Pelodiscus sinensis: one gene and its partner. The protein of the gene in region 2 interacts with the protein of the main gene of each other region in a pairwise test. Links are inferred from orthologs where the notes say so. Each region holds a gene or a part of one and is shown on either strand. Other genes may lie near its edges. The genes, in order: AP4M1 and USP47.

Evidence for each region.
Region 1: the proteins of USP47 (region 2) and AP4M1 interact in binary tests that used the Homo sapiens proteins (3 or more experiments, as listed by UniProt). The two-hybrid records come from large-scale screens. The link is inferred for Pelodiscus sinensis from reciprocal best matches to the Homo sapiens genes USP47 and AP4M1.

What each region holds. Positions count from the first base shown.
Region 1 is NC_134734.1:7,467,610-7,483,337, reverse strand, and holds the start of AP4M1 (AP-4 complex subunit mu-1), read right to left. Parts: upstream 4,740-15,728; 5' UTR 4,613-4,739; intron 4,441-4,612; 5' UTR 4,432-4,440; coding exon 4,374-4,431; intron 3,647-4,373; coding exon 3,552-3,646; intron 3,383-3,551; coding exon 3,276-3,382; intron 3,141-3,275; coding exon 3,044-3,140; intron 2,914-3,043; coding exon 2,803-2,913; intron 2,002-2,802; coding exon 1,921-2,001; intron 1,797-1,920; coding exon 1,734-1,796; intron 1,473-1,733; coding exon 1,406-1,472; intron 1,221-1,405; coding exon 1,167-1,220; intron 1,090-1,166; coding exon 983-1,089; intron 71-982; coding exon 1-70. Other genes in the region: DNA replication licensing factor MCM7, read left to right, coding at 4,963-4,993, 5,091-5,167, 5,723-5,887, 5,991-6,115, 6,250-6,430, 7,605-7,742, 9,478-9,627, 9,708-9,822 and 7 more. UniProt on the Homo sapiens protein: Component of the adaptor protein complex 4 (AP-4). Adaptor protein complexes are vesicle coat components involved both in vesicle formation and cargo selection. They control the vesicular transport of proteins in different trafficking pathways.
Region 2 is NC_134714.1:103,010,326-103,026,529, forward strand, and holds the start of USP47 (ubiquitin carboxyl-terminal hydrolase 47), read right to left. Parts: upstream 6,593-16,204; 5' UTR 6,448-6,592; coding exon 6,409-6,447; intron 1-6,408. UniProt on the Homo sapiens protein: Ubiquitin-specific protease that specifically deubiquitinates monoubiquitinated DNA polymerase beta (POLB), stabilizing POLB thereby playing a role in base-excision repair (BER). Acts as a regulator of cell growth and genome integrity.

The DNA of each region.
Region 1 (15,728 bases), on a different chromosome or scaffold from region 2:
GCATGGGGAAGAGGTGGAAGGGCAGGGCTGAGGGGATGTCGTCTGAGAGCTGGTACTGCATCACTGGAAGCTGGGGGAGCAGACAGTGGATTAGGCTTGTGGTATATCACCCTAGACAGCACCCGTCTGTTGGAATAAGCTTCACAATTTGCAGATTGCCTCGCTTATTCCAAGTCTAAATCGAAAGAGCTTTTTTTGAAATTTGAAACGAGGGTTATGGGGACACTGGAATAGCAGGTGCTTTTAAAAACGTGTCATTGCTGTTTCGGGATTCTGCTGGTATCCTGAAAGAGCAACGCAGTCCAGACATACCCCATCAGCTGGGGGAGCCGAGACAGGGTCAGGCAAATAGTGTCACTGGGAGCTGGGGAGAGAGGCTGTTAGTGTGTCACTCAAAGAGGTGAGGGAACAGGATCCTGGGGGAGCAGAGATGTAGCGTGACAGGGTGGATCAGGCCCCAAGGTCCCCTCCTGGAGGCCTTTTGGGGCAACGTATGGCAGAACCAAAAGGCAAGAAGCCAGGCAGCAGTTCATGTTTCTGGAGCCTTCAAGGTATGCCGACGGGGAGATTGGCTGGCTGAAAGAGCAGCAGCACTGCGGACAGCTCCGTGTGGAGAACTACTGAGGACTCTGAGATAAAGCCATGAGGGAAGGGCAGAGATGCTGCCTCCAGGAAGGAAACCCCTGGGGGCACCCTTCTCTCTGAGTGGGGAATAGACTCAGAGGAGCTCCACGGAGGGCACAGAGTTGGGCCCCGGTAGATGTGTATCCCAGAAGGGGTTTGTTGATTCATACACAGCGTGTGAGACTTGGCTAGAGGGCTGAGGCTTTTGAAATTGCAGAGTGCAGGTCGTGTACTCGGCCAGCTCGTGTTCGATGTGGTCAGGTTGGTGGAGCTGAAGGCACAGATGGATGGGGCCAGACTGGGCGTCCCATGGTCTTGCACCAGGAGCAGAGGCCCAGCTGCTATGCACAGGGCTCACCTCCCCTTGGCTGGGGTTGACCTTTAGGACACGGGCACTCTCAAACTCATCAAGCTTAACGGAGCTGTGGAAGGCGCATTCGTCCACGCGAACAGCGGTGCCGTAGCCTGCAGTGAGCAAAGGTCGGGGAGTCAGAATGAGGGGGCCCTGTGAGGCGGAATAGAGACTGGCAGTGGCTACTCACCTCGCAACTCCGACTTCCCCACACAGAACTCTTCTGTCAGCCCAATGCGCATCTCTACAGGGAGGGGAGAGAGTATTAAGGGACTCAGCCAGGGGAGAGCTGCCCAGGCCGGGGCCAGTCGCCGTTGCCCCCAGCCCTGCTTTCTCCCGCTCACAATGGGTATATCTACTCAGCAATGAAACACCAGGGTCTGGCCCACGTGAGCTGCTTCAGGCTGTGGGGCTGCAGCCATTACTCACCGGGACAGCTAGGCAAATAGCTCTTGAGGCGGATTTCTCCCTGGATGTCGACCTTCATGGGGGTACCCTGGGGAGAACATGGGGTGAGGCCCAGACAATGACACGGGTCGGAGCAGGTTCCCTTGGGAGGCGGTGCACGATGGGAGGGCTGCTCAGGCTCTGTGGTGGGGAAGCTGTGGGGCTAAATTTTGTGCCTTAGGGGGTTGAAGGGATCCCCGCCCTGGGCCTGGTTAGAAGCTCAGCCTTTGCTCTGACCCTGTAAATTGATGGAGGGGCTGTGTGTCAGGATGCAAAACCCCCGGCTCACACCTTCCCCTCTCTGACTCACATTGGCAGCAATGACGACTGTCAGCCTCTCCACTATGTCCAAAAACACCTCGTTCCTCGCACCCTGCAGGGAGATAGCCAGTGCTCATGTGACTGCTGCCAGCAGGCCCTCTCCATCCCAGACAGAGGGGCCCGCTCCATGCTAGAGCAGGAAGGGGGGGGACAACATACTGCTGGGGGTGTCTCACCTGGTCCCCATGGGGGGGCAGAACAGGGCGGCTGGTGGCTGAGCTCGGAGCCACTTTACTTTGCTGTGTCTCCGCACCAAACTGAAACCAAAGGGGAGAAGGTCGGAGTAGGGCCCAGGGATGGTGCCTTGATGGGCTCCCAGGGGTTGGGGTTGGGGATACTAGGTACCCCATGACCGGATCTCTCTCAGGGTAACATTTTCCCCAGAGGAGCCGATGGCTAAGGGGGCTGAGGGAATATGGGGGGGCGGGGAGGAATTTGGAGGGCTCGTGAGGCTGCTGCTATTCAGGGGTGCTGGGAGAGAGGAGATCGGAGCTTAGAGTGGCATCATCAGGCCATTGACCGGGGGTGGGGGCTGGGGGGATTTGGGGCTGGGTTTATCAGGGCGACATTGCCCAGGGGATGCAGTGGGGATTTGGGACTCACCAGGCTGTTGCTGCCTGGGAGGGCACAGTGGGAGGTGGGGACACGGGTGGGATTTGGGGGAGTTCTCTAGGCTGATGCTGCCTGGGAAGGTGCTGAAGGGGAGGAAACATGGGGGTGGGGGGAAATCTGGGGGGCCAAGTTCACCAGGCTGATGCTACCCAGGGGCCCAGATCCAGGAAAAGCTGCCCACAGGACACTGGGAGATTTGGTGACGGAGCTCACCAAGTTGACACTGCCCAAAGAGTGCTGGTGGGAAGGAGACATGGGATGGTTCAGGGGCTAGATTCGCTAAGCCAACACTGCCCAGGCAGCACTGGGGGAGCAGGGGATTTGGGGACGTTCACTGGGCGAGCATGGTGTTTTTAAGGGGCTCACAGGTCAGATGTTGCCTGGACACTGGGGGGGAACTGGACTCACCAGGCCGACAGTGGGAGGGGGGGGAAAACTGGACTCACCAGGCCAACACTGCCCAGGTCCAGCAGGCTGAAGGCCTTGCTGAGCACTGGCTCCATCTGGATGAAGTTGCGCAATACATCAGGTGCTGTGGTCTGGACATAGCCATAGTCCTATGGGGGGAGAGTACAGAGTGAGGGGGAGAGCCCACCTGTGCCCCTGCCACTGGCACAGGAGATTAGAGCTGCAAGCTTCCCTGCAGCAGTGCCCCAGGTAAGGTGCTCCTCAGCAGTGCTTGCCTACCAGCATTTCGTCCAACATCTCATAGATGAGGGCGAAGTTGAGGCTAATGGTTTTCTCACTGAGAGCACCACAATAATCATGGATCAGCGTCACCAGCCTGTGGGAAAGGAGAGAGACAGGTGAGGGCAGGGTTGGCTCAGTGCATCCCCTCCCGCTGTGTGTCCCCATCCTCTGAGCTCCACCATATCCCTGTCTACCCCCTGTGCCCTGGGGTTACACCTGCCCCTCTCACCGGTTGAGAAACTCAATGATGGTGAAAGGGGAGATATTGTGCCCTGTCGTAGCCACGAAGTAGAGGCCGGCGTGACGCACGTGGACGAAGTGCAGCCCCTCATGCACCTGTAGCGGAAACACAAGCAGAGTTATATGGACCCTCTCCCTCACCAGGGGGTACCCCTCTCTCCCACATACTTGCCCAGATGCTCTCCACTTCTGTTATCGTAGAGATGCTTCATCCCTATAGTGATGCCCCCACATTACTGCAGAGCTGTGGAACCCACCCCTTTACCATAAAGACAGGTGCCTGGTCCCTAGGCAGGGCTGTGATCTTCCTATAGAAAGTGTCCGTCAGGTCCATGCTGCTCCCTGCTGCCTCACCACGCACTGGGAGGGGGTTAAAGAGAAATCATCCCATCTGGGCAGTATGGTTGAGAGCTCCCCCTCTCCCCCCGTAGTGCCCAGTTAGAAAGCCAGATGTGGAGGTGGTGCCCAGTTGGGGTTCCCCCGGGGGCCAAGATGATCTGCATGGGACACTTGAGGAGCTATGCAAGGGGGCATTTGGAAGGGGGAGGTCTAGGGGGCTATATCAGGGTATTTGGGGAGATGGCCTTGGAGGGGTCCAGAGCACTAGAGGCAGGAGGATTTGGTGTAGGGATGTTAGATGTTTAATAACCATGTAACCACACCAAATCTTGGTGGTTACACAATTATTCGATAGTCCCTGGAGTGCAGCCAGTGTGCTTCTGGTCCCACTCCCAGGGAGCTCCCTGCCACTCCATGCTGCTGCCTCTGTGTTTGTGGGAGGCAGCAAGAGGGCAAGGCAGCTCCACGAAGCCAGCACATGCAGGGAGCTTAAAAGGCAGCCCCCTGTGCATATCGGCTCTCGCTTCACCTTGGGGTGTGGGGCGGGGGGTTCTATGGGATCCAGATCGAAAGAGGGCAAGCGGGGGGAGGGTGTGTAGTTGTTAGGACTTACCGATAAAGCCAGGCTTATCGGTTAATCGCTTACACAACTGTATGCTAACATCCCTCATTTGGGGAGCTGGGGGACGTGGAGGAGTCCGGGGTGCTAGGACGGTGTTTGGGGAGCCCGCAGGGCAGGGTAGGATACGGTCCTTGTAGACGAGTCTGTCTCCCTTGGAGGAGAGAATGAAAATCTGAGACAGCATCTCGGAGGCCTGGGGTGGGGGGAAAGAGAGCGTGAGTGGGGCCCTGCCCTGAAACCTGGCCCCGCCCCCTCCCGGAAACCCCGTCCCCTGCCCGACACCCTCCGCCCCTGCCAGGAAACCCCGCTCTCATTTCGAATCCCAGCCCCTGCTACCGGCTCACCCTGCGCCCCCCGCCCATTACCTCCCTCTTCTCCCCGACTTCGCGGCTCCCTTAAGAGGAGGCGGGGCCTGGGGGAATCTCACCGGCTCTGCTCGAACCCGGCTGTTGCGAGGGGACTTTGCTGTCACGTGATGGAGCCGTGAGGGCGGGGCTTACAGGCTCAGCTCGGCCCGAGCGCCGATTTGCGGGCTGGGCGGATCACGTGGCCCCGGGGTGGGACCAGGTCCTGATTGGCCGGGGCCAGACACGTGGTATGGTTCTGGTTTCGCGCCACTTTTGCTTGTGGCGACAGCCGGGAGGAACCTGAGGAGGGGTCGGTCGGGAGCGGCCTGCGCTGACTCCGGCGGCGACCCGTAGGCCCCGTCCCCGCCATGGCGCCCAAGGACTACGCGGCGGAGAAAGGTGGTTACTGCCGCGCGGCCGGGACGGGGGGGCGGAGGGTCGGGGCCGCGCTGGGGGCAGGGCTGGACTGACACTCTCCCCCCCCCCCCCCCCCCAGGGAAGGTGCAGCGTTTCCTGGAGCAGTTCTGCCGCCCCGGCCCGCATGGCAAGGAGTTCCCCTACCGGGACCGGCTGGTGAGACTCAACGTCCCCCCTCGCCCTGGGGCGCTGCGCCGAGCGCCAGAAGCAACAGCCGCCGGCTGCGCGCTGCCCCTCCCCTCCCAGCGCATTTTCGAGCAGGGCGGCCCGGCTCAGTCCTGGCTTGCGCTGGGTCCAGGGCCTGCCCCCGCTGAGGCGCTGCGAAGTGTATTAGGAGCGGGGTGGGCGGGCAGCCCGGCTCCCTTCCGCTCAGCCCTCCTCCTGCGCAGGGGCGCAACTGCCTTAGCAGCGGCAGCAGCATAGAGCGACAGGAAGCCAGTCGTGAGGGGCGCTGGCTCGTCTTATGGACCAGCTCCCACCTGGCACCCCACAAAGCTACCGCTGATACAGCAGCCGTGTGGAGTGGCGGGGGCTTCTCGGGAGTGAGGCTGGGGTTAGAGAATGGTTGACTAAGCGATAAGAATTCATGAGCTTACCCAACTATTCAATTAACTGATATTTATCATCCCTACTTCCCTCTGCACCCATGTTTCCCACTTCTGGCGGCTCCGGGCCTCACCCCCAGCTGCTCAACCTGTGCTTGCCCCGCAGGTAGCCCTGGCTCAGAGGGAGCAGGTGGCTCTGTATGTGGAGCTGGATGATCTGGCAGAGGAGGACCCTGAGTTAGTGGATGCTGTGTGCGAGAATGCAAAGCGCTACACCCGCCTCTTTGCCGACGCTGTGCACGAGCTGCTACCCCTTCACAGGCAGCATGAGGTAAAGGAGAGGGGTGGTGAGGGAGGAGGGATACTGGTGGGTGGAAGGAGCTTTGGGAGAGTGGCTGAGGCACCTTGACAGAGTCCCTGTTTACCCACTCCAGGTAGTGCACAAGGATGCCCTGGACGTGTACATTGAGCACCGGCTGATGCTGGAGCAGCGTGGCCACGATACAGCAGAGACACGCAGACCCCAAAACCAGTACCCCCCAGAGCTGCTGCGCCGCTTGTGAGTGCATGTGAGGGGAGGTGTGGGGGTCCTGTTATTCCTGGCTCTTTTAAATCTCCCCTGCCCCCAACCAGGTTCTCCTCCCCCTGGCCCCTGCTATGGCTCTAACTCGTGGGCCTTCTCTTCTGTTCCAGTGAGCTCTACTTCAAGGCACCGTCAAGCTCCAAGGCCCGCGTGATCCGGGACGTGAAAGCCGACTGCATTGGCAAACTGGTCACCGTGCGCGGCATCGTCACCCGTGTCACTGAGGTCAAGCCCATGATGGTGGTGGCTACTTACAGCTGTGATCAGTGTGGAGCGGAGACCTACCAGCCAGTGAGTGGAAGGGGCTGGGCTGAGCTGTCCTGCCGGCTGGCTGTCAGCTCAGGGCTGAAAATAAGACCAACCATACTGGGTCAGTCTAAAGGTCCATCTAGACCACTAGCCTGTTTTTTATCAGTGGCCAAAGCGGGTGCTTCAGAGGGAATGAACAGAACAGGTAACCATTCAGTGATGATCCATTCCCAGCTTCTGGCACACAAGCTAGGAACACCATTCTTGCCCATCCTGCCTCATAGCCATCGATGGACCTGTTCTCCATGAATTTATTTAGCTGTTTGAACCGTGTTATAGTGTTGGACATAACCTCTGGCAAAGAGGTCCACAGGTTGACTTTGTGTTGTGCGTGGAAATATTTCCTTTGGATTGTTTTAAGCCTGCTACCTATGAATTTAATTTGATGAATGGCTGAGCTGTTGTCACCAGTCCACAGGACTATACCCCTCTGTTGTGCCAGGGACCCCATTGATGTGACAGACCCCCTAGGTGTTTCTTGAGCCAGCCACATGGACTTATGTCTCCAGAGACTAGTCCCACCCTGTGCTCCAGTCAGCCAGTGAAACAGGTTTACACCTGGGAGAGTCTTGTCTCGCCCTGCAGGAGCCTGTTCACTACGGCGCCCAGGCAGTCAACACAGCCTGGGAAGTCGGGAGCGGGGGGGGGGACATGCCCCTCCTGCCCTGGCAGAGCCAGCCCTAGTGTGGGGGCTGGAGTGGTGAGATCCCGCTTAATGTTTACGTGGTTAACCAACTAGGTTAATCTAATGCTTAACCATTTAACCGATTAGCTGGGATTTTAGATCCCTACCTCACGCTTTCTTGGCCTGTGTTCTGTAGCTGGGGTCTCTGCTTGCTTCCCTGCCGAGGGGTGACGAGATCTCTAGTCACTCGACTGCACCTTGTCTTGTGGGCCCCTGGTGGGTTGAGGTCTATTTCATCCAGCTCCTTCAGCACCCATGTCAGTTACTTGGTCCTCAGAACACATTTGTTGCCCTTCCTTTACTGGGCAGCTAGGAAACATGGGGAAACTGAGACTTATTGAGATCAGCAAATGACGAACGTCCCTACTTTGTCATGCCCCCAGCTGGGCACGAGGGAGCAGCTGTGTTCCCTGGTTAGGTGTGGTGGAGAGGGGTGGCTGGTTGATTCAGACCCTCTTCCCACCCCTGCAGATCCAGGCCCCAACCTTCATGCCGCTGATCATGTGCCCGAGCCAGGAGTGCCAGACCAACCGCTCCGGGGGGCGTCTCTATCTGCAGAGCCGTGGCTCCAAGTTCATCAAGTTCCAGGAGCTAAAGATGCAGGAGCATGTGAGTGGGGGGCAAATGGGAGGGATGAGTTTGGGGATCCCAAAGACCGATCTGGGTGCTCCTGATGACAGCCCTCCCATTTGGTTATGAGGTTGTCACAGATTTGTAGGTTACGCCCAAGCTTGGACTGTATAGTCCTCAGGGGAACCCCTCCAGTGCAATAGACCCTTCTTGGGAATCCACTTTCCTTGGGAGTTAAGCCGCTCTGTCTCCTAGGACCTAGGGATGTGGCATGCTGACAGGTCTCCTGTTTTTTCATTGATAACTGTTCGGCTGCATGCGTTAGTGCATTTGCTCCCTCTGTTTACTGTATAGATCTCACACAATTAGTCAACGCAGCAGACTGATTGCCCCCAAAGACCACAAAATCAGATAAGGATCCAAGGTGCCTGGCCAGGTTTGTTGTAGATGAGGCACAGTCCTAGCTTCCCTGGACCAAAGAGCCTGCAGTGAGGCTAACACATGTATGCCCATTATAGTGGACAGTGCCAGGGATGAGACACTTCTCCCTAGGTCAGACAAAGACAACTCTTTGGGATTCACTTTTATATGCAGGTACAAACACATTCCACATCACTCTTGATGTATCAGGTTGCCACCTCCTGTAGCTTAGCTACCACCCTTTATCTCATTCAATTACTATCTATTATGCTGGTGGTCCTGAGTGAGTCAGTATTCCTGTTGTTTGTGGGGAGGGGGCTGGTATCGAGATATTTCTTAACAAGGTGTTCTGTTGTGACCACACTTGAACGTGCTTAGAGCTTTTGCCTAGTAGTGTTTTGCAGTATTAGCTCTGTTCTTGTCAACTTCTGTGAGCAAGGCCTGCCTCTTGCTCGCAGCTTGTCTTCATTTTATATTAGCAAAGTCTTAACGGTTGTGTCTGGGCCTTAGGCCTCACACCCGGCCTGTGATATGATGGCCTGTAACAAACCCACATCTTAGATTCTGGGTGAGGAAACTGCTCCATTCCGGCCGGGGCAGTCTCCAGCCCTACTGGGACCTCACCTCTCTGAGCCCCCAGCATTTATCTGGACCCCAGGACCTACACTCGCAGGGGGGCTAGTGCAGCCCTGTTCTCAGACCGGAGTGACTCTCCGCCAGCGTCACACAGGAGGGTTCATTGAGCACTGAACCCAGCACAGGAACTTCAGGCCTGTAGGCCTGGCCCCCTCAGCCCAACACGTCTGAGTCTCCCCTGCAGCCAGGTGGGCTCTGCCTGCTCCCCCTGCCCAGTTCAGCAGCCCCCTCCTTCCAGCCCAGCCCCCCCAAATCCCTCCCCAGCAGCCCCTCCCTTGGCCTCTGTCTTCTGCCCAGGTAACCAGGGTTGCCTGTCCCCCCGCCCACCCTTCCCTGCCTGCCCTCTCCTCCATCCTTTGTCCCCCTGGCTGGGACCAGCTGTATAAGTCACTGGGCTCCTCTCCCCACAGCCCATTGGCCTCTCACTGGCCCTGGCCCAGCTGTGCCAGCCAAGCTGGGTCTCCTGGTCACCAGTCGGTGGGGTCTCCAGTTCTGTGCTGGTCCCTGGAACAACAAACTCTCCTTTTCTTTCCCCCACCCCCCTCACCCTCCATTGAACCAGTAATAGCCAGGGACACGGAGTGCTTCCATTTCCCCGCATGCAACCCCACTGAAACCACCATCAATCCACCACGTCATCATGGGGGCTTTCTGCTAGAGCAGGGGCTGGTCTCGAGGGGTGGCTAGATCAGGGCCAATGTGTATCTTTCTCATACAGAGTGACCAGGTGCCTGTGGGGCATCTCCCCCGCTCAATCAGCGTGACTGTGCATGGCGAGAACACACGGCTGGCTCAGCCTGGCGACCACGTCAGCATCACTGGTGTCTTCCTGCCCCTGCTGAGAACCGGTTTCCGGCAGATGGCCCAGGTGAGGGGTGTGGGGTTAATGAAAGTGGTGGTGGGGCTTGGTGGGCAGGGCCCATGGAGTGACACCCCTGTTCCCTCTAGGGGCTGCTCTCTGAGACCTACCTGGAGGCACATCACATTGCGAAAATGAACAAGAGCGAGGAGGATGAGCTGGGGGCAGAGGAGCTGACAGAGGATGAGCTGCGCCAAATCACAGGTGATTCCCTCCATCTCCCCCCGACCTGCCTCATCTGCTCCCACCCCAGCCATCCTGGGGCAGCTGTGACACCCCCTCCCCCCCCATGGCCTGCGGCGGCCAGCCAAATGCAGGGCAGCTGGGTATCACTGAGGTGTGAGGGAGGCCCTGCACCCCCATCCGCGACTCTCCACTGGCAGCTAGAAGAGGTTTATTAGTCGACAGGGACACAGACTTGTCAGCACAGGAACCAGAAATGGCCAGCACCATCCATCCTGGGGAGAGGGGCCTCAGATCAAGAGCCCTGCCCCGACCCTCCAGCCAGTGCCCCAGCCAGACCCCTCTGCGCTCACTGGCAAATGGTGTCATGTGGTCAAACCCTGCCCTGTGGCTCAAATCATAAAGCGCTTGTGCCACAATGTACCTGCAGGAGGCTGAGGGAGCTTCTCTGAATGGAAGTCACACCCAAAGTTGTCATCTTGAGAAACTGAGGCACTCGCACGGGGTTACTATAGGACAGTAGAAATCAGATGCAACATAATGAGGGGAATAAAATCCCCACTTTGTTGCACTGGGACTCCCCCCATAGCCCTCCTCCATCCCAGCCCTGCAGCACCTCCTGCCAACTCTCCGGGCATGCTAATTGCAGAGCAGCTGATAAAAGTGGTACCTTGGTCCCTGCTGACCTCCCCTGTCCACCCTGCCAGCTGGCTCACCTCCTCACTTGAGCCCCGGTGAGTGTGGGATGGAGCCAGGGCTACATTCAGGCTCCGTAGCCCCACTGATATCCTTCCTGCTGCAGAGGAGGATTTCTACGAGAAGCTGGCTGCCTCCATCGCCCCTGAGATTTATGGGCATGAGGATGTGAAGAAGGCGCTGCTGCTGCTGCTGGTGGGGGGTGTGGACCGTAACCCCCGTGGCATGAAGATTCGTGGTAAGTTGGGGAGAGGCTGGAGTGGTAGGGGGTGGGGGGTCAGGCTTGGGAGAGGTCTCTGATGCTGATCTGTCTGCTTCCAGGGAACATTAACATCTGCTTGATGGGAGACCCCGGTGTGGCCAAGTCCCAGCTGCTTTCTTATATTGATCGCCTGGCACCCCGTAGTGAGTAGCACCTTCTGAGGGGCCTAGCATGTGCATCCTCCAGGGGCAGTCTGGCAACTGGGAGGGTAAGAGTAGGCGGGTCCCTATCTCCTCCTGGGTTACTATCCCATGTAGTGCCATGTGCCCCCTTTCTCCCCAGGGTTAGGGTATCCCCCTGACTACCCTTCTCCCCTGGTCAGTACCCTACTGCCTGCCCCTCCCGATGGGGCACCCTTCTGACTGCCCCTCCTTGCAGGCCAGTACACCACGGGGCGGGGCTCATCTGGCGTGGGGCTGACCGCAGCCGTGCTGCGGGACCCAGTGACTGGCGAATTGGCCCTGGAGGGCGGGGCACTGGTACTGGCCGACCAGGGCGTGTGCTGCATTGACGAATTTGACAAGATGCTGGAGAGTGACCGTACAGCCATTCACGAGGTGATGGAGCAGCAGAGCATCTCCATTGCCAAGGCAGGCGTGCTGGCGACCCTCAATGCCCGCTGCGCCATCCTGGCTGCTGCCAACCCCGCCTATGGGCGCTACAACCCTCGCCGCAGCCTGGAGCAGAACGTGCAGCTCCCGGCCGCCCTGCTCTCCCGCTTTGACCTGCTCTGGCTCATCCAGGACCGGCCCGACCGTGACAACGACCTGCGGTGAGAACTGGATGGGTGCTGGGCAGGGACGGGGGTGGGCCCAAGGCAGCGGCACTGATGCCTCTCACCCCTGCAGCCTAGCCCAGCACATCACCTACGTGCACCAGCACAGCCGCCAGCCGCCCTGCGCCTTCCAGCAGCTGGACATGAAGCTCATGAGGTAAGTGCTCACCTGGCCTGGGGACAGAAGAGGCAGCTGGGAGCCCACATACCTGGGTTCTCTCCATAGCTCTGGGAAGAGAATAGTGGTTGGTGGGTTAGAGAAGGGGGCTGGGAGCCAGGACTCCTGGGTTCTCTCCTTGGCTCTGGCAGAGGGCTGGGAGCCATGTTTGCCCCAAGTATTCTGCCTGGGAGACAGATTTCCCCCCCCCCCCACCACATATGACTCCCCTTCCCCAGGCGCTACATCAACATGTGCAAGCGGAAGCAGCCAGCTGTGCCAGAGGCGCTCGCCGATTACATCACAGCTGCCTATGTGGAGATGCGCAAGGAGGCCTGGGCCAGCAAAGACACTACCTACACGTCGGCCCGCACGCTGCTGGGCATCCTGCGCCTGGCTAGCGCCTTGGTGAGCGGCTGCCTGGATGGGGACGGGCGGGGGGGCTGCAAGGCTAAAGTGCTCACAGTACAGGTAGCTGGCATCTGGGTGCTGCCTGCGGGGCTGGGCCTTCTGGCTGCGGGTGGGGACAGAGTGTGCAGTGTACAGGGGCTGGCCCAAGCAGGAACTGCTCTGCCTGTTGCTAGCCAGGCCTGGAGGCTGCCAAGTGCTGTTCGCTTAGGTTCCAAATTCAGTCGTCCGCTGCCAAGTTAGTGCTTCTTGAGCCCTGTGATGAGGACACCTGTCCCCTTGTGGTAGATCCAGGCCCACAGGCTGCTGTATGGTTTGTCCCATAGCAGGGCAGTGGGGATGCAGCCTCGTCGGGCTGAGTGATGGGGGGTGGGTAGGAAGGGGTGTTGTATGGGCTGGTGTGGCAGACAGGGTCACAAGGGTTGCTAGTGCCTGTTTGATGGGTCGGGCATCAGGAAGGGGCAGGCCCTGGCTCAGGGGCGCAGCTGGTGCCTTGCCCTGACCCTCCCCTGCTGCCCTCTGCAGGCCCGGCTGAGGCTGGTGGATGTGGTGGAGAAGGAGGATGTGAACGAGGCCATGCGGCTCATGGAGATGTCTAAGGACTCACTACTCGGTGACAGGGGCCAGCAAGCCAGGTGAGGCAGGGGGCCTGGATCTTGGGCCCCACATGCTAGCAGGGCAGGGCTCCTCACATGGCCCCGCTTCCTGCTGGTGGGCAGGTGCTTTGAGATGTGGGGCATGTTCTGGTGGTTCCCCCTGCCCCAAGACAGCAGTGTGGGGTACCTTGCAGCATGGGGGCAGTTCCTAGGGGCTGGCCTGGGATCTGTTGGCAGGATGGGATGGGAGCATCATGTTGGAGGAGCACTTTTTGTGACTGACACTGGGGCTATGGGCAGGATCAATAGATATGGAAGTACCAGGTTCTGGCATGGTGTTGGGGGGGGCTTCCCTGAGGACAGTGTGGGCTTGAGGCAGCACTGATCCTTCTCCTCACCCCCCTAGGACTCAGCGGCCTGCTGACCTGATCTTTGCGGCGGTGCGGGAGCTGGCGGGCGGGGCAGGCAGGCATGCAGTGCCCTATGCTGAGGCGGAACAGCGCTGCATCTCCAGGGGCTTCACTCCTGCCCAGTTTCAGGCTGCGCTGGACGAGTATGAGGAGCTCAATGTCTGGCAGGTGAACCAGGCCCGCACCCGCATCACCTTTATCTGAACTGGCAGTGCTGGGCGCTCGGCCTGGCCAGCTGCATCCCTGGCACGGTGCACAACCCGCAGGCATAGTTCTGGGCCACAACGTGCCCAGGGGCCTCCTGTCTGTGCAACACTTTGAGCTTTTACCTTGCCAATAAAGCGGTTTGTGATACAGCGTGACTGATGGAGGGGAGGGGCAGGCAGAGCAGGGGCCTTGCTGCTGTCTCTCCCCCGTCCCTGGGGACACCCTACGCCTTACGTCCTGTGAGCTCCACTGGGAGGGGCTGCGAACTCAATGGGCCCTGCTCTGCTGCCCCATCACCCATCTCCCTGCTAGTGGCTGAGCCCAACCCTTCTGCACGGTGGAGCCTTAGGCAAACAGCGCTTTGTGCTGCCAAAGGGTGGGCAGCCAGCAGGCCTTGTACCCCTATCCAGTCAACTGTGACTTCTGGGCCCAATTCTGGTTGTCCCCACAAAGAACCCTTCCTTGGGTGTGACCCCCTTCTTGAGGACCACATGCTCAAGTTAAGCTGCAGGTTCCTCCACCCCTGGGATTGCACCTCACTGGCCTTCAGTGCACCTGGCTCTTGCTTGTCCCTCTTTGTTCTACTCTGCCCTAGTCATTTAATGCCTGATGCTCGGTCTATGGGGTGCAGTGCATCCCACTGCTGCCACCCATCACTGAAGCGTAGGGAGTCACCATCTGCAGCCAGATGTGAGACTCAGCTGGTGGCTACAAGAGGTGGTTTGAGGCAGCAGGGACACAGTGTGGAGCAGACTTGTCAGCACAGGAACTAGAAGCAGCCAGCATGATCCATCCTGGGGAGAGGGGGCTCAGAGCCAAGGGCTCTGCCCCTATCTCTGTACCTCAAGGTAACTGAGTCTGACTTAGGGACCAGCCTGGTAGGTGGGGGCTAAGAATCTTATCTGTCTTTTGTTCTCGTGGCAAAAGGCCCTACTGGGCTCGGACAGGTTGGAGCTAGGTTAGCTTCCCCATCTAGGCATTGGTTCAGTGTCCCAGCAACTGGGTTATGATCGAACAGTAGAACTCACATGCAACAGAGCAAAGTGACTGCAAGTCCTCGCTGTCCTAGCCATGCATGGAGGGGGTTTGTTTGCAGAGAGGGATAGTGATGTGAGGAAATTGCTCCCTGCACAGGGGCCTAGAGCTGAGCAACCAACTGCTGGCCTGGGCTGTAGGATATTCCCCTGAGGCTAAGTGTGGGGTGTGGGCATGGGCATCTCACTTCTTCCTTCTGCCTCTGGGCTCAGCTCGGAGCGAAATACACCAGCTAACAATGTTAGGAATCACTAGGAAAGGGATAGATAAGACAATATTATAATGCCCGTTTAAGTCCATGGAACACCTGCACCATCTAAAAAAGAAACATTAGAATTGGAAAGTACCTAGAAGGGTGACAAATGATCAGGGGGATGGAACAGCTTCCATATGATAGATTAAATAACTGGAACTGCTAATTTAGAAGAGATGACGAAGGGAGGATATCAGTGGGAGTCTGTTACTGTCTTGCTCTCCCTTTTCTCATGGCATCCCAGGACTCTAAACTTGTTTGTGGAGAACTATGCAGGGTGATACTACTGCACAGGAACCAGAAGCAGCCCATACAATCTGTCTTGGGGCGAGTGGGCTCAGCCAATGGTGCTGATCCCTATCCCAAGCCAACTGAGACTGACAGCCCCAACCTAACAGCCTGACCGCATGCCTTCCTTTGCCTTTTGTTCCCCTGGCAAAAGGTGTCACCTGGCTGCACCCCTTCCTTGGCTCAGATGTGCTGTGGTAACAGGAGTGGAGTGGTAACTGCTTATTTAGACTCTTTAGGCCCTGTATATCATTAGGAATCTGTTACTTTGCATTGCTCGCCCTTGAATTTCATATTGGTTTTGTGAGATCCCTTTGTAGCTCATTGCAGGCAGCTTTGGAGAGAACCCTCCTGCATGATTTTTATATCTTCCCCACATTTTGCTAGCTCACCATTTGCCCAGTGTTCTGGATCCCTGACTAGGACTGGTCCCAGTACAGACCTGGGGGGAATCACCACTAGTTATCTCTCACCAGTCTGAGAATGGACTATTTATTCCTCCCCTGGTCTTCCTAGCTTTTAACCAGTCAATCACAATTAACTCACACTATTAACTCAAATTAATCATGACTTAAAAAAAATCAGTCGCACTTTTTCTACATTTTCATTATTGATTTCAATTACAACACAATGTAAAGTGCACAATGCTTAATTATTTTTACAAATATTTGCACTGTAAAAATAAAAGATAGTATTTTTCAGTTCACCTCCTACACTCACTGTAGAGCTATCTCTTTACTATGAAAGTGCAACTTACATATGTAGATTTTTTTTAATTATACAGGCAGTCCCTGGGTTACATGGATCTGACTTACATTGGGTCCCTACTTACAAACGGGG
Region 2 (16,204 bases):
GCCTAGTTCTGGGGGAGAGGAGCAGGACTGGGTTAGAGTGGGGGAGGAGGGAGAGGCTGAAGCACTTTAAACTCAAAGTCTTCATGGATGCAGAACAAGGCAGCCAACACAGATGTCATTTAAACTCCAGGGCAAAAAAAAAAAAAAAAAAAAAAAAAAGAATCAGCATGTACCTGGTTTTCACTGTTTCTTTAAAGAAAATTCAAAGGCTATTGTTTGCTAGGCTGAAGCAATTAGACTTTAGTTTTTGTCTGAAATATCCTGTAATGTTATTTTTATCACTACATTTTGTGTACTATATCGATATATAAAAATAAATATATACATCGCTCTTTGCACTCTATCCACCACTATTTTGGCTCTTCATCTCTAACTGGTTGGCCACCCCAAGCTAGTAGGTAGTAAAAAAGAGGCAGCACATGTAAAGCAAAATCTTAACACACATGTATTTTAGATCAAGTTACACTGATCAGATATCCTCTACCAGTATTATAAAGTATTCCACAAATTTGGACAGAAATAATATAAATAAAACACACTGGGCACACAGGGACTAACAGTTCTCCCACACATACAAACTCCAAATCCACATTCTTCTATACCAGGGGTTGGCAACCTATGGCTGGCAAGCCACGTTTGTCTCACTAGGGAGCAGGCCATGGCTCTTCTGGAGCCCCAGCAGCTTTCACCACAGCATGAAGCCAGCACTGGCACTACAGCCTTAATCTCTCCTCCCACCCCCTGGCCACCTCTGCAAGACTAAAATGCCAGCACCAGCTTCCAGCAGGGGAGCCTTCCTGCCAGATCCAGCAGGTGAGAAACAAGTGGTGCAAAAAATGCCTCCGTGTGCTGCTTTTTCTTCCCCTGGCATGTGGAAAACCAGGAACCAAAAATAGCTCCATGCACGCTATCATTTTTCCCCCCAGGAAACACTGGCGGCTTCCTTCCAGCTCATGGCAGCAGGGGGAGGCCGTGTTCCACACAGCACAAAAGCAAGTAAGTGGCCTCCCCAACCTTCATGCCCAGATCCTGCACCCCCCCCTTACTCATTCCCCTTGGCCAGACACCCTACTCCCAGCCTACTCCTGCAACCTATATCCCACCCAGACCACACCCCTCCTATACCCCACCTCCTGCCCAGATCCTGAACCTCTATCTCTATCCCATTCAATGGCAGCCCTGTCCCACACACTTAACCCCTCATTTTTTGCACCACTCCAGAGCCTTGGGGGGGCCCACTATAGCCACTAACCCTGGAACTCCAGAAGAGTAAATCGGATCTGAGACCCTGAACCTCAGTCCTCCCTAACCCTCCCCCATCATGGGACTGGAGCACCAGAGGAGTGAAGCATCACAGTTGGGGGCCACATCAGTGAGGGTTAGGGTGGTTTAGAGGGATTTCTTTTGCTTCTCACTTGTGTGGTCCCCAACTGATTTTTCTGTGGCCCCTGACCCAAAAAAGGGGGAGGAGTTTCATTGTATGTAAGAGAGTACTACGATTGCTCTGAACTCCAGTATAAACAAGGAGAAAAACCTGTTGAGAGTCTATGGGTTAAGTTTAAAGGAGCAAACAACAGCAGTGATGTTGTGGTTGGTGTCTGCTACAGGTCACCGAATCAGGTGGATGAGGTAGATGAGGCTTTCTTCAGACAACTGAGCGAAGCTTCCAGATCGCAGGCCCTGGTTCTCATGGGGAACTTTAATCACCCTGACATCTGTTGGGAAACTTATGCGGCAGTACACAGGCAATCCAGGAAGTTTTTGGAGAATATTGGTGATAACTTCTTGACACAAGTGCTGAAGGATCCGACCAGGGGCCGTGCACAGCTTGACCTTCTGCTCACAAACAGGGAGGAACTAATAGGGGAAGTGGACGTGGGTGACAACCTGGGAAGCAGTGATCATGAGATGGTAGATTTCAGGATCCTGACCAAAGGAAGAAAAGAGAGTAGTAAAATACACACCTTGGACTTGAAAAAAGCAGATTTTGACTCCCTCAGAGATCTGATGAGCAGAATCCCCTGGGATGTTAACATAAAGGGGAAAGGAGTCCAGGACAGCTGGCAGTATTTTAAAGAAGCCTTACTGAAGGCACAGAAAGAAACCATCCCGACGCGTAGCAAGAGAGGCAAACATGGTAGGATACCAGATTGGCTTACAGGGGAAATCCTTGGTGAACCTTAAGCACAAAAAGGAAGCTTACAAAAAGTGGAAACTTGGACAAATGACCAGGGAGCAGTTTAAAGGTATAGCTCGAGAATGCCAGGGGGTTATCAGGAAGGCGAAAGCGCAAATGGAATTGCGACTGGCTAAGGATGTGAAGGATAACATGAAAGGTTTCTACAGGCATGTTAACAAGAAGAAGGTGATCAGAGACTGTGTGCGGATGAAGGAGGTAACCTAGTGACAGATGATGTGGGGAAAGCTCAAGTACTTAATTCACGGAGAAGGTCGGCTCCTGGACTGCTGTGCTAAGTGACGCAAGATGGGATGAAGATGGACAGCCCATGGTGGGTAAAGAACAGGTTAGGAACTAGTTAGAAAAGCTAAACGTACATAAATCCATGGGTCTGGACTTAGTGCATCCGAGGGTACTGAGAGAGTTGGCAAATGTCATTGAGGAGCCTTTGGCTATCATCTTTGAAAAGTCGTGGAGATCGGGAGAAATCCCGGATGATTGGAAAAAGGCAAATGTAGTGCCCATCTTCAAAAAAGGGAAGAAGGACGATCCAGGGAACTATAGGCCGGTCAGTCTTACCTTGGTTCCTGGAAAAATCATGGAAGGGATCCTTAAGGAATCCCTTTTGAGGCACTTGGATGAGAGGAAAGTAATTAGGAATAGTTAGCATGGATTCACAAAGGGCAAGTCATGCCTGACCAATCTGATTAGCTTCTATGATGAGGTAACTGGCTCGGTGGACATGGGAAGTCAGTGGATGTGATATTCCTTGACTTTAGCAAGGCTTTTGATACGGTCTCCCACAATATTCTTGCCAGCAAGTTAAGGGAATGTGGATTGGATAAATGGACGGTAAGATGGATAGAAAGCTGGCTAGAAGGCTGGGCCCAGCAGGTAATGATCAATGGCTCGATGTCAGGATGGCGGTCAGTTTTTAGCAGAGTGCCCCAAGGTTCGGTTCTAGGACCGGTTTTGTTCAATATCTTTATTAATGATCTGGATGAGGGGATGGATTGCCCCCTCAGCAAGTTTGCGGATGACACTAAGCTGGGGGGAGAGGTAGATACGCTTAAGGGCAGAGATAAGGTCCAGAATGACTTAGACAAATTGGAGGACTGGGCCACAAGAAATCTGATGAGTTTCAACAAGGACAAGTGTAGAGTCCTGCACTTGGGACGGAAGAATCCCAAGCATAGTTACAAGCTGGGGACTAACCGGTTAAGTAGTAGTTCTGCAGAAAAGGACCTGGGGGTTACAGTGGATGAGAAGCTGGATACGAGTCAACAGTGTGCCCTTGTAGCCAAGAAGGCTAATGGCATATTAGGTTGCATTAGAGGAGCATTGCCAGCAGATCCAGAGATGTCATTATTCCCCTTTATTCGGCTTTGGTGAGGCCATATCTGGAGTATTGTGTCCAGTTCTGGGCCCCCCACTACAAAAAGGATGTGGACGCATTGGAGAGGGTCCAGCGGAGGGCAACCAAAATGATTAGGGGGCTGGAGCATATGACTTATGAGGGGAGGCTAAGAGATTTGGGTCTGTTTAGTCTGCAGAAGCGAAGAGTGAGGGGGGATTTGATAGCAGCCTTCAACTTCCTGAAGGGAGGTTCCAAAGAGGATGGAGAGAGGCTGTTCTCAGTAGTGACAGATGGTAGAACAAGGAGCAATGGTCTCAAGTTGTGGTGGGAGAGGTCCAGGTTGGACATTAGGAAAAACTATTTCACTAGGAGGGTGGTGAAGCACTAGAAAGGGTTACCTAGGGAAGTAGTGGAGTCTCCATCCCTAGAGGTGTTTAAGTCTTGGCTTGACAAAGCCTTGGCTGGGTTGATTAAGTTGGGATTGGTCCTGCCTAGAGCAGGGGACTGGACTTGATGACCTTCTGAGGTCTCTTCCAGTTCTATGATTCTATGAAAACACCCGTAAGGAATGGCCACAATAAGATTCTTCTGTTGAAGTGGGTTTTATCCACACAAGCTCATGACCCTATATAGGTGTCACAGGACTACTCCACCTCTTTATTTCTGTTACCACCACAAGTGCAACTGGCTTCTCCTGTATGTCTCTATTTTCTATTTTCCACCCACCTGCACTGACTATACCCCCTTCTGCCTTGTGGTGGTGTTTTTGTGTGTTTTTTAATCCAAATACTTTAATTTTAAGTTTTAGAAATGTGTCTCCAAAATACAGCTTTCTATCTTATTTTATTATATATCCTTCACTTATGATACAGTACTGCTCCCACACACTCACAATATCTATTTACATGTCTATAAAACTTAGGAACAGCTATACTTAGGGATGTTAAATTTGGTTTAATCAACTGGTTGATGGATTTTCCATCAATTAGTTGATAAGCAAGGGAGCCAGCCACACCTGAGGAGTTAACCCCACTGTGCCTTTGCTTTTTAAATATATTTCAAGCCTGCCAGCTCTTAATACATTTAAAAATCAGCACAGTGGGGGGGAGCAGAGGAGGGACCCAGCACTAGCTGGGACAGCTAATTCCCTGCTCGCGCTGGGTTCCCTTCCCTACCCTGCACTTTATCATTTTACATGTATTAAGAGCAGGACCCAGTGGAGCTGGGAATCAGCTGTCCCAGCTCATGCAGGTCACCCCTGGCTGTGCTTCTGATTTTTAAACAAACTAAGAGCCAACAGTCTGTTATCACATTTAAAAAGCAGAGGTGCAGCATCTGGTACTGGATGTGAGCCAGAAATCAGCTGATTCCCAGCTCCTGCCTACTCCCCTGCCCTCCCCACCCCCCAGAGATAGTGTTGGGGGAACCAGTTTTTAAGCCAGCTCTGAGAGGCAGCAAGGGGGGGGGGGAGAGAAGAGCAGGGGAGTAGAGGGGAGAAGCAACTAGTCAAGCTTTTGATTATCTTATAGTCAACTAGTCACATATCCCTAGCTGTAGTACAGTCGTTTTCTGGAATTAAGGTCTCAAAATGACAAGTACTGTACAAACCAGTAATAAGACGACAGGTACATAATCTAGATATGTAACAAGACAGAACAGACTGAGAGAAGTAAATCCAGGTTGGAAAGCTAAGTAACATTTATTAATACAAAAATGTAAAATCACTAAAAAATTATGGAGCGTATTAATTTTCCTGCTAGATCCACAATTCTCAAAAGAATTTGCTGAAAATCTTAACGTTAATTCCTTAAAAAGAGCATTACTATCACTTTGTTCATCATTTAAAATCTGTTCCCCTCCTCTTTCAATCTTGAACAATATTTTTGACACAAACTTTACATAAGAACATATCAGGGCAAAAGGGCAAAGGTGCCATTCCCCTACACTCTGTCCCTCATCCTTAACCTCTTACAGACACCATTTCCTTCCCTCCCCACTGCTAAAGCGATAGCAACCTTTTCCTGCAAACAGGAACACCATGGGCTACAAAACCAATTCTCTTCTCAGGACCCCAGCCCACCATGAACACTCCTGTCCTTCTCCACCATCGTCAGATAACATCATAGAGGTTATATAGCCTCCTCTGAAATCCACACGTGAGCCCACGCTCTCCAAACCTCTTCCCTCCAGTCTCCACCCCTTCTTCACTCAAAGAGCTTCTCCCCTCCTCAAGAGTCTCAGACCGAATCCCTCATACAACCCCAACTCCTTCAAAGCCCACAGACAAGGACCTGCTCTCCACTCAAGAGTCGTGAGGACAATTTCTCTTCCTACACAGCTCGTTAAGGGGTGTCCAGCTAACTTCGTACAGGCATGCACCGTCTAGCACCCGCCCGCCCAATACCCCAGGCTCCCAGGAGCCACAGAGCCAGGATGACCCTTTCACATCTCCCCGCTCCCGTCAGACAAGGGGCCTCCCTGCCCAGGCTTCGCCTCTTCCTCCTTTACACACGCCGAGGGCACCCCGTTCACCCAGACCCCACAAAAACAAGGCCTCCGCCGGGCTCGCGCAAACAGCGGCCGCCACCGGCCCCGCTCCCCGCAGAAACCCGCATGCCGGAACATGGGCAGGGGCCTGCCGCAACCGCCCCCGCCCGCCCGCCCGCCCGCCATTCGCACTTGGACAGCAGAGCCCAGCCCCAGCCCCCTCTGGGACCCACGCGCGCTCCGGTCTCACACGCCAACTGGGACTCCCTGCCGGCCGCCGCTCATGAGAGAGAGGCCCCGCCGCACCACCTCGGGCCCGACCCGGAACGAGGCTTCCCGCGGCGTGCTTGTCAGGAGCCTCCCCCCTGCCCCGCACGGGCCCCACCTCTTTGGGCACGAGCCGATTCTCCTCACTGGGCACCATGGCGGGCGCGCGGCGCTGGGCCCCGGAGTCGTCAGCGGAGGCCGGAGGCGGCGAAGGGACGTGAGTGGCTCATCCTCCCCCCGCAGTGCCCAGCACTAACACCCCACCTCCGCGAGGGCAACGCGCGGTCCCCCCACCCTCCACCAACGCCAGCCAATGAGAAAATGGCCGCCCGTAAGCCTCGCGAGACAATTTGGCCAGGGCGCGTGCCGCAGCCCGCTCTCGCCCCTTACCGGAGGGAGGGACTTAAAGCGCCGCGTTTTAGAAACCTGCCTCCAGGGCTGGGGGTGCTCACGTGACTTACGTAACACGCGCCCGCGTGACGGGGTAGAAGTGCAACGGAAGGGTAAAGTGCTTGGGTATCGCTACTCTCATGCTGTTCTCAGCAGCCTTCTTGCGCCCGCCCGCCCGCCCCTTGAGCTGAGGGGCGCCGTGTGCGAGGCTGGATGCCTGTGTCCTTGCGCGGCGGCGCCCCCCCCCCAGCCTGAAGGGCTTTTTGTACCTTCTAGCGCAAGACTGGTCTCTCAGAGAGCGCCACGTGCCGTTCAAGCCAGCGTGTGCGGCTTGCAGGGCCAAGATATAACGCGCTGCCGCGTGTATTTGGCGCCTCTGCGGAGGACAGGCTTGCTGCTTTGGGGCAGGGAACCTTGTGCCCAACTAGCCTCATGAGTTGAATAGCAACTGCTTTGAGTCCTACGCCCAAGTTAATATCCCTGTATTACTTCCTCTTTGTTACATTTACATGCCAGCTTTATCCTCCCTGCCTCACTACTTAGACAGTTTTCGTTGTCCTGTGTCTGTTACGAAATACATAGTAACCATTTAAAATAAATTAATTCTGTGGGAGGACTATTATTCCTGAATTATTTGTGCTCCCATAACTCCATCTGCTTTACTCCATTGACCTTGATGGTGATTTTAGATGCTCAAGGCAAACAAGATCAGAACATTTTGTCCACAAATGATTAGAATCATAGAGCTGGAATAGACTTCAGACAGTCATCAAGTCCAGCCCCCTGCCCAATGCAGGACCAATCCCAACTAAATCAACCCAGCCAGGACTTTGTCAAACCGAGATTTAAAAACCTCTAAGGATGGAGATTCCACCACTTCCGTACATAACCCACCCCAGTGTTTCACCACCCTCCTAGTGAAATAGTTTTTCCTAATATCCAACCTAGACCTCTCCCACTGTAACTTGAGACCATTGCTCCTTGTTCTGCCATCGGTCACTATTGTGAACAACCTTCCTCCATCCTCTTTGCAACCTCCCTTCAGGAAGTTGAAGGCTGCTATCAAATCCCCCCTCACTCTTCTCTTCTGCAGTCTAAACAAACCCAAATCCCTCAGCCTCTCCTCATAGGTCATGCGCTCCAGCCCCCTAATGATTTTGGTCGCCCTCCGCTGGACCCTCTCACAATGTTCCAGACGTGGCTGCACCAGAGCCGAATAAAGGGGAATTATCACTTCTCTGGATCTGCTGGCAATGCTCCTCCTAATGCACCCTAATATGCCATTAGCCTTCTTGGCTACAAGGGCACACTGTTGACTCGTATCCAGCTTCTCATTCACTTTAATCCCCAGATCCTTTTCTGCAGAACTACTACTTAGCCATTCAGTCTCCAGCCTGTAACCATGCTTGGGATTCTTCCGTCCCAAGTGCAGGACTCTACACTTGTCTTTGTTGAACCTCATCAGATTTCTTTTGGCCCAATCCTCTAATCTGTCCAGGTCACTCTGGACCCTATCCCTGCCCTCCAGCGTATCTACCTCTCCCCCTAGCTTAGTGTCATCTGCATACTTGTTGAGGGTGCAGTCCATCCCCTCATCAGGTCATTAATAAAGATACTGAATAAAACCAGTCCAAGAACAGATCCATCTTACAATACATTTATCCAATCCATACTCCCTTAACTTGCTGACAAGAATATTGTGGGAGATCGTATAAAAAGCTTTGGTAAAGTCAAGGTATATCACATCCACTGACTTTCCCATATCCTCAGAGGCAGTTATAGATGTCTATAGATGTCTGTGAAGCGACCACTGTGGTCACAAGGGCCTGGAGTACCATGGAGAAGTACCCCTTATAGTTTATGAAATGGGCCACTCAATGCTCTGGGGCACTGATGGGGATGTGGGTCCCATCCACAGCTCCCCCACAGTTGGGGAACCCCAGGGCAGAGAAGACAGCCACAGCTGCATCCACGTCCCGCAGGTGGATGACCCTCTTGAGCAGGATATCACTGATGGCATGGACAACCTGCAGAAGGGCACACAGAAACACAGGGAATGCACCAAATGAGGCAGGGTAGGTGCATCAGCCCTTGGGGGATGTTCACACCTCTGTGATGCTCTCTGCCCCCAAACACACCAGGGCCCCCTCGCCCCAGAGGCCCCCCCCATACCAGCAGGCATGTGTGAGGGAGGGATGGACAAGCCCCTGGGTGACGGGGCTTCCCCCACTCCCTCCTCCCCCCCCCCCCCCCCCAGCCTGGAGTCTTCCCTTCCCCCGGGAAGTAGCAAGGCAGCATGGAGCAGCATCTGCCCACACTCCAAAATGGCCATGTGGGGCAGAGCAAGCACAGGGCCATCCCTGGCTCCATGGCACAGCAAACACAAGGCAAAAGTTGCCAAAGGCACTAGGCCATAAGGTGTGGTGTCCAAAGAGGCAGAGGGCAACCACAACTAGCACTGCTGCAGCTTTCAGTCCCTACAAGAGGTCCCAAAGCACACAGCAGGAGAGAAATGGCTGTCCATGGAGATCCCTTTAAGCATGCATCTCAAAAGAGCTCCAGCCCCCGCCCCCGGAAAGCCTTGGTGCCCTTTTGCCCTCTCCAAAGTAGTTCTGGGGGCAAATCTTTGCGCAAGAGCTTCCCACCAGTATGGATGCTCTCTTGCGCAAAAGCGCATGGCTTATGCAATGCATTTTGACCAGTGTGGATGCGCTCTTGCACAAGACCTTTTGTGCAAGAGTTCTTGCGCAAAACAGGTCTTGCGCAAGAAGTTTGCAATGTAGACATAGCCCAAGAGAGGAGAAACTGCTTTTGTAGTTCGTTAGCCATTCACAGTCTTTGTTTAATCCTAAAATGATAATGTCAAATTTGCAGATGAATTGTAGCTCTGCAGTTTCTCTTTGAAGTCTGTTTTTAAAGTTTTTTTGTTTCAGGACAGCTACTTTTACATCCCCTATTGTGTATCCAGGGAGATTGAAGTGTTCTCCTATAGGCTTTTGTATATTATCATTCCTGATATCTGATTTGTGTCTGTTTATTGTTTTACGTAGGGACTGTCCAGTTTGGCTGATGTATATGGCAGAGGGGCATTGCTGGCACATGATGGCATATATTACATTGGTAGATGTGCAGGTGAACAAGCCCGTGATGGTGTGGCTGATATGCTTAGGTCCTGTGATAGTGTCACTGGTGTAGATATGTGGGCAGATTTGGCACCGAGGTTTGTTGCAGGAATTAGTTACTGTGGTGTGGTGTATAGTTGCTGGTGAGAATATGCTTCAGGTTGGCGAGTTGTCTGTGGATGAGGACTGGCCTGCCTCCCAAGGTGTGTGAGAGTCAAGGATCATTGTCCAGGATGGGTTGTAGATCATATCTTCAGGATTTGTGCAAATTGAAAACTTAATGTTTTTGGACCAGTGGCCAAAGAGTCTCTGAGTCATTAAAAGCAAGGACTAGCCTAGACTGGAAGCCAGACAGAGAGAAAGAGAGAGAGAATAAGAGCAGGATAGGTGCTGATTGGATTGAAGAGCTAGAACAGTGAGAGAAGCTCCTGATAAAAGATAGTCAAGAAAGAAGTGTCTGGAAGTTTCTGAGGGTAGTGTGAGACTACCATTTTGTGATTAAACTTAAAAAACAACAAATGGTTTGGTAGCACTTTAAAGACTAACAAAACATGTAGATGGTATCATGAGCTTTCCTGAGCACAGCCCACTTCTTCAGATAGCCAGCTGATTAATGCCTCTGGTGTTCCTGTTTCCTTTGAGATTAAACCCTCTGGAGCTTGGGGAATTCTTCATATTATGAACTAGGGAACTGACATTCAAGAATGAGAATCTTGCATATTGTGAAATAATATATTTTAGTATATGGATACAAAAACTAGCACAAATCTGCCCCAATTGGATTCCCAGTAATCCTTTTAAAATACATTCTATCAGTTGGCCCCATTTATTGACAGAAATAACTATGAGCATCTAGCAATAGCCTATGTATGTTGAAACTCAGCTAATGGAATTAATATAATTGACTCCGCCATTTGTTGTTATCCAAACAGGAATTTGTTGTCTGCTCTTTAAGACTCTAGAATATAGCAATTAAATTATTCCAGTTGATCTTGAGGTCTTTTTTTTAAAGAGTTTTTGTTACTCATTGTTCTTAAAAGAGTCACAGTTCTATATAGTATAAGACCTCTGATTCAGGGTAGCACATCCTTACCTTGTCTTGTATAAGGATGCTTATAAGGCCAGAACTAAATTAGTAATCTCAGACAAGAAAAAAAAAGTTAGAGTTAAGTTTTTAAATATACATCTCAGATGCTAGGTGTTTAAACTCTGCCTCGACAGTCTAGTTATGAATAACACAATGTTGAAGCATTTGTCAGTCTTCACATAGTGACATCCTACTAGTCTTAATTCAGTCCTGAGCTCATTTAATGCTTAGAAAAGCTTTTTTGACCAACCAACCTAAAAACAAACAAATTCCAAATACAGTGTTAACATTCTGGATCTAATTGAGTCCTGTCATAAGTCAGGTGCAGCTTCTATTGAAAGAGTTTTAGGTTGTTTCTTTTCACCCCTGAAATTTTAAAAATGTTAAAATCATCGAAGCTATGTCACATCTTAATTGTGCATGGCTATCGTAAAAGAGGTCAACAATGTAGGCTGAGATTTCAAAAGGTTTCTACTGTGGTTAGATTCCCAATTCCCATTGAAATTTGATGGGAATTGGACACCTCTGTCTTTAGAAACGTGTCAAAACCTCAGCCTCAGGCTCATTTCTCTAATAATTAACCCTATGCTGCTTTCAAAGCTGAGGGTGGACTATTAGTAAAACAGTACATTGTGAAAGCCTAAATATCCTGCCCTGGGATGGAATTCTGCACCAAAGTATTAAAAATTCTGCTAACAAGATTTTAAACTTTTGCAAACTTCTGCAAATTTTATTGTATAATTTTATACAATTTTTATAATCACACCAGTTTCAAATATTTTTGTAATTTGTTTCAAAATATCTGTCAGCAAGCTGGGCTCCAACAGCCCTTAATGGTGCCAATATATCCACAGTCATTTCTTTGTGGGGAAAAAAGAAAGTCTGTGCACCAAACATTAATTTCTGCACAATTTTGCATTGTGCAGCGGCACAGAATTCCCCCAGGAGTGATATCATTGAGCACTGCTATGTATCACCCACATAGAAACTATGTTAAAAGAACATTACATGATAAAGTCAAATGTTCCAAAATTAGGAAAGGGCAAAGTCTATTATGCCTATGGCATTATCATCCTCATTTAGGGTGTGTGTACACAGCACAGTTATTTCAAAATAACAATGTGAGCATTTACCCAGCAATTCTATTATTTCGAAATAACAAATGGCTTATTCTGACTTCTGTAAACGTCATTCCACAAGGAATAATGCCTATTCCAAAATAGCTATTTCGGAACAGGGCATGTGTACACACAGCAGCTGGAGCTATTTTGAAATAACGGGCCTCCGGGAAATCCCACAAATGGCTTGTTGGCCCCTCTGTCCACATTCATCAGGACTCTATAGATCATCTTCCCATGCAGCCCTTAAAGTTGCAGACACAGGAGAAAGGGTTTGGGGCAGGAAGTTGGCCCTGATAGCCTTCAGCCACACCGCAGCTGCCAGAGCACGACATCGAGTCAGCATGAGTGACCCAAGAGCCCTCTCCCACTCCCAGGGAGCACTCCGACAGCTCCCCAGGAGTCTGCTAGGTGCTGAAAGAGTCACGCACCATCCTGGTCTGGGGCAGAGATCCTGGCCCTCATTGAGGTGGGAGGGGAGGAGGAAAACCTCCAGAATCTCCGCAACAAATGGTGCAGTGCCGAATTCTATGGCCGCATGGCTGACAGCCCAGCCTCAAAGGGCCACGTCCGGACTCAGGAGCAGGTCCAGATGAAAGTCAAAGAACTCTGACAGGCATATGCCAGGGCAAGGGAGTGCAACTCCTTCTCCAGGGCAGAACCCCACTCCTGCCCCTATTATCAAGACCTGCACCACATCCTGGGGGGTGGTGCAGTCCCTTCCCTACTCCTGGTGGTTGATTTATGGCTGGACATGCCTGTTGTCACCCACCCAGGGTGGGCAGAGTCGGTTGTGCAGAGGAGGAGGAGGATCCCGACGCAGCCAACACTCTCACCACACTGACACTTGAGACGATACCCCACTCCGCCCCTGGACGTGTCCCAGGCATTCTCCAAGGCTGGGGAAGGAACATCGGGTGAGTGACCTTAGTTAGCTGACACAGGGAGGAGGTGGCAGGCAGTGACGGGCTGAGGTGCGCTCTTCACTCAGCCTTCTCAGCCTGGGGATCACGCTGCAGTCTGTGCACATGGATGCATGTGCAGCATCAGTCTGGGCCACACAGCCCCAGGCAGCTGCACCACAGCACCCCTGGGCTCTTGCTCACAGGGTATGGGGAGGCCGCCCACACTCCTGACACCAGGGTGGGACACCTTCCCACCACAAGCCACCACTAGAAGGAAGCTGGGGACATGGCCACACACACATACTCAGGAGTGCTGCACGTGGCACACGGGCATGCCTGCATGTTCGAGGTAACACCTGCACCCAGGGACAGCGCTGCCAGGTCAGGACCATCAGCCACTCACACACCCTGACCCCCTCTCCTCCAGTGGCCAAAGACACAAGTCCTCTTCCCTGGAGACACCATCTTTGCACTGGAGCATGATCGCTACAGATAGACTCATCAGAGAATTTAGCTGTCAAGCTAACATCCCTATTGAGCATTTGCTGTCTAAATTTTTCTTACAATAGAGCCAATGGTAGACAGTTTTGCAACAAGGCAACAAAAGACTAAATGTTTGCTAAATGTTAATCCCTTTTTCAAAAGCATGGAAGTGCTTCTTCTTCTCAATTAAACATTAGTATGTTTAAAAAAAAGAGCAAAACAATGTATTTTCCTTACTGTAATTCTGGGAGCTGACTAAACTATTTTGGCTTATATTTAAAAAATGTCTTGGGGAAGACACCAGCTATAAAAACAATGCTGGACATTGTCTACACTAGGACATTTACCTACACAGTGTTTAAGCTCACTTAAAAAAATGTGCTGAACAGTGGGTCTATCTTCATTTGCAGTTAAAAAGTTTTCAACACAAGTTCAGAGGCATTGAGTGCTGACTGAGCAGTAATGGGTAACTGAGTACTCTTGTAAGACTGAGGGACAGAGTGTAAAATTATGTAGTTGGTTAACAGAATGTGCTGAGTCGTAAGTTGGCTCAGCACCTTGTCACTCAAACCCCACTAGTGTACATAAATTGGGACCTGACCGAAAGACAGGCAGTTGGCAGAGGGTATCCATTGACCGAGAAGAGACACAGCTGAGGGACTAACTGGGTGAAATAACCCCCATCAGTTGGGTTTATATAAGCTGGCAGGAATGCAGGGCTAAAGGGAAAAGTAGGCCGCTTGAAACAAGGCAAGGATAGGCAGATGCTATGGCACGTGCTAGGAGAAGGCTTGAAAGAAGGGGTGGGCATGAGAAAGGTGGGGATGGAGCAAGTCATGTGAGGACACAGCGGGGCAGGATAGGAATGGGGCAGAGAGTGGTGAGGGGGTGGGCATCAGGGAAAAAGAGGGCAAAGGAAGCAGGGGCAGTGATGGAAGGGGGAGGCACCAGGAGGGTGCAGGGCTAAGGGAAGGTGCAGGTGCCAGGGGATTCTGGGAGTGAAGTAGAAGGGCATATATCTGCAGTGGAGGGACCAGCACCAGAGGAGAGAGACAGGGCAGGTGTGTAGAGGGAGGTGTTAGAAGAGGGGTAGCTCACATGATCAGAGTGGGGATACTGGAGGAGTGGGCAGAGGAGGGAGAGAAGGGCTGGTGGAGTGGGGCAGGTCGCTGAGGGCAGTGAGAAGGGCAGGAGTCAGGACAGCCGAGGAGGGTGAGGAGTTGGGGGGCAGCAGGCACCAGGGGAGATGATGGAGCAAGGAGGGGAGACATGACAGCAGAGAGAAAAGGTAAACGTTTACAAAATATTTATTAATAACTTGGTATGCTGCCCATGGCCAGTTTGCGCTTCGTGGTGCAGTTTGGGTTTATGTGGGGATCAACACGTGGCCGGCGAGTGTGAAGCAAAACAAAAATGTAGTCAGTGTAATGATCTTCTGTTGATATGTGTTTTAGTAGTTAAATTCTTGGACTGTCATTGCTCAGGAAAAGTGCTATCAGGTAAATGTTGCATTTTATTAATATCAGCAGAACTGACTTAAATGGGGCCCTGTGTGTTGTGTAGTCTTGCCTTAATCTTTGTTTTCATTCCTGTCAGCGTGAGAGAAGCTATTTGTATATATTTGCTTGCATATGCAACCACACTTAAGTTGAGTCTCTCAGCATGTTCTGCAGGTCATGTGGCCCCTGGGGCTTCCAAAGTTGAGTTGCCCTAGCTCATCCCTGACAGGTGTCTGTCTAACTTGGTCTTAAATATCTCCAATGATGGAGATTCAGCTATCTCACTAGACAATTTATTCCAGTGTTTAACCACCCTGACAAGCAGGAAGTTTTTCCTAATGTCCAACCTAAACCTCCCTTGCTGTAATTTAAGCCCATTGCTTCTCATTCTAACCTCAGAGGTCAAGCAGAACAATTTTTCTTCCTCCTCCTTATGATACTCTTTTAGATACTTGAAAGCTCATGTCCCTTTTTGGTCTTCTCTTTTCCAAGGTAAACAAGGCCAATTTCTTCAGCCTTGCCTCACATCTCATGTTCTCTAGACCTTTCATCATTTGTGTTGATCTTCTCTGGACTTTCTCCAGTTTCTCCATGTTTCCTGAAATGTGGCACCCAGAACTGGACATGATACTCCAGCTGGGGCCTAATGTAGATGGCTCATTCCCTGCCTAGGGGACGTGAGACTGGGCGGGTTGATTTCCAATCCTCCTATTTATTCTTTTCCTAAGTCAGGGGGGCACAGTAGTTCTCATGGGGGCTCTACAGGAAGGCAGCCTGCACTGCCCCCTTCCTGAAACCTTGTGCAGGTGTTAAACAGGTGTCCAGCCCACCCTGAAGCAACACTGCACCGGCAATGGACAGGAGAATGGCTCCCGGACATGGCTTGCTCATGACGGCTTCAGTCCCATTCATGGGTCTCAGCCTCTTTCCTTCCACTCACCTGCTTTGCAATGGAGCTGTAGACTCTTGGGGAGAAGGATGTAGGCAGGCAGAGGTGTCTCCCTGAAGCAGATGTAGACACGTCTCTGTATTAATCATTCTCTCATTGAAGTTTTTAGCTTTGTAGTGAGTCCTTTTACATGGAAACTTTGTATTACATCTTGGTAGTGTAGAAGCTATTTTATGTTTAGCTAGAAGCCATCTTGTATATCAGAAACCATTTCAGCTTTTCTCTCAAGCATGTAGACCAGAGTGAACTTTCTGTCACCCTGTGAGAAGAGGCCTACAGGATGGGCTATTGATATGTGTTAATTGGGCTGGTTGGGACAGGAGATGTACTCCCTCGTACCTGTCCGCCATCTTGTTGATAA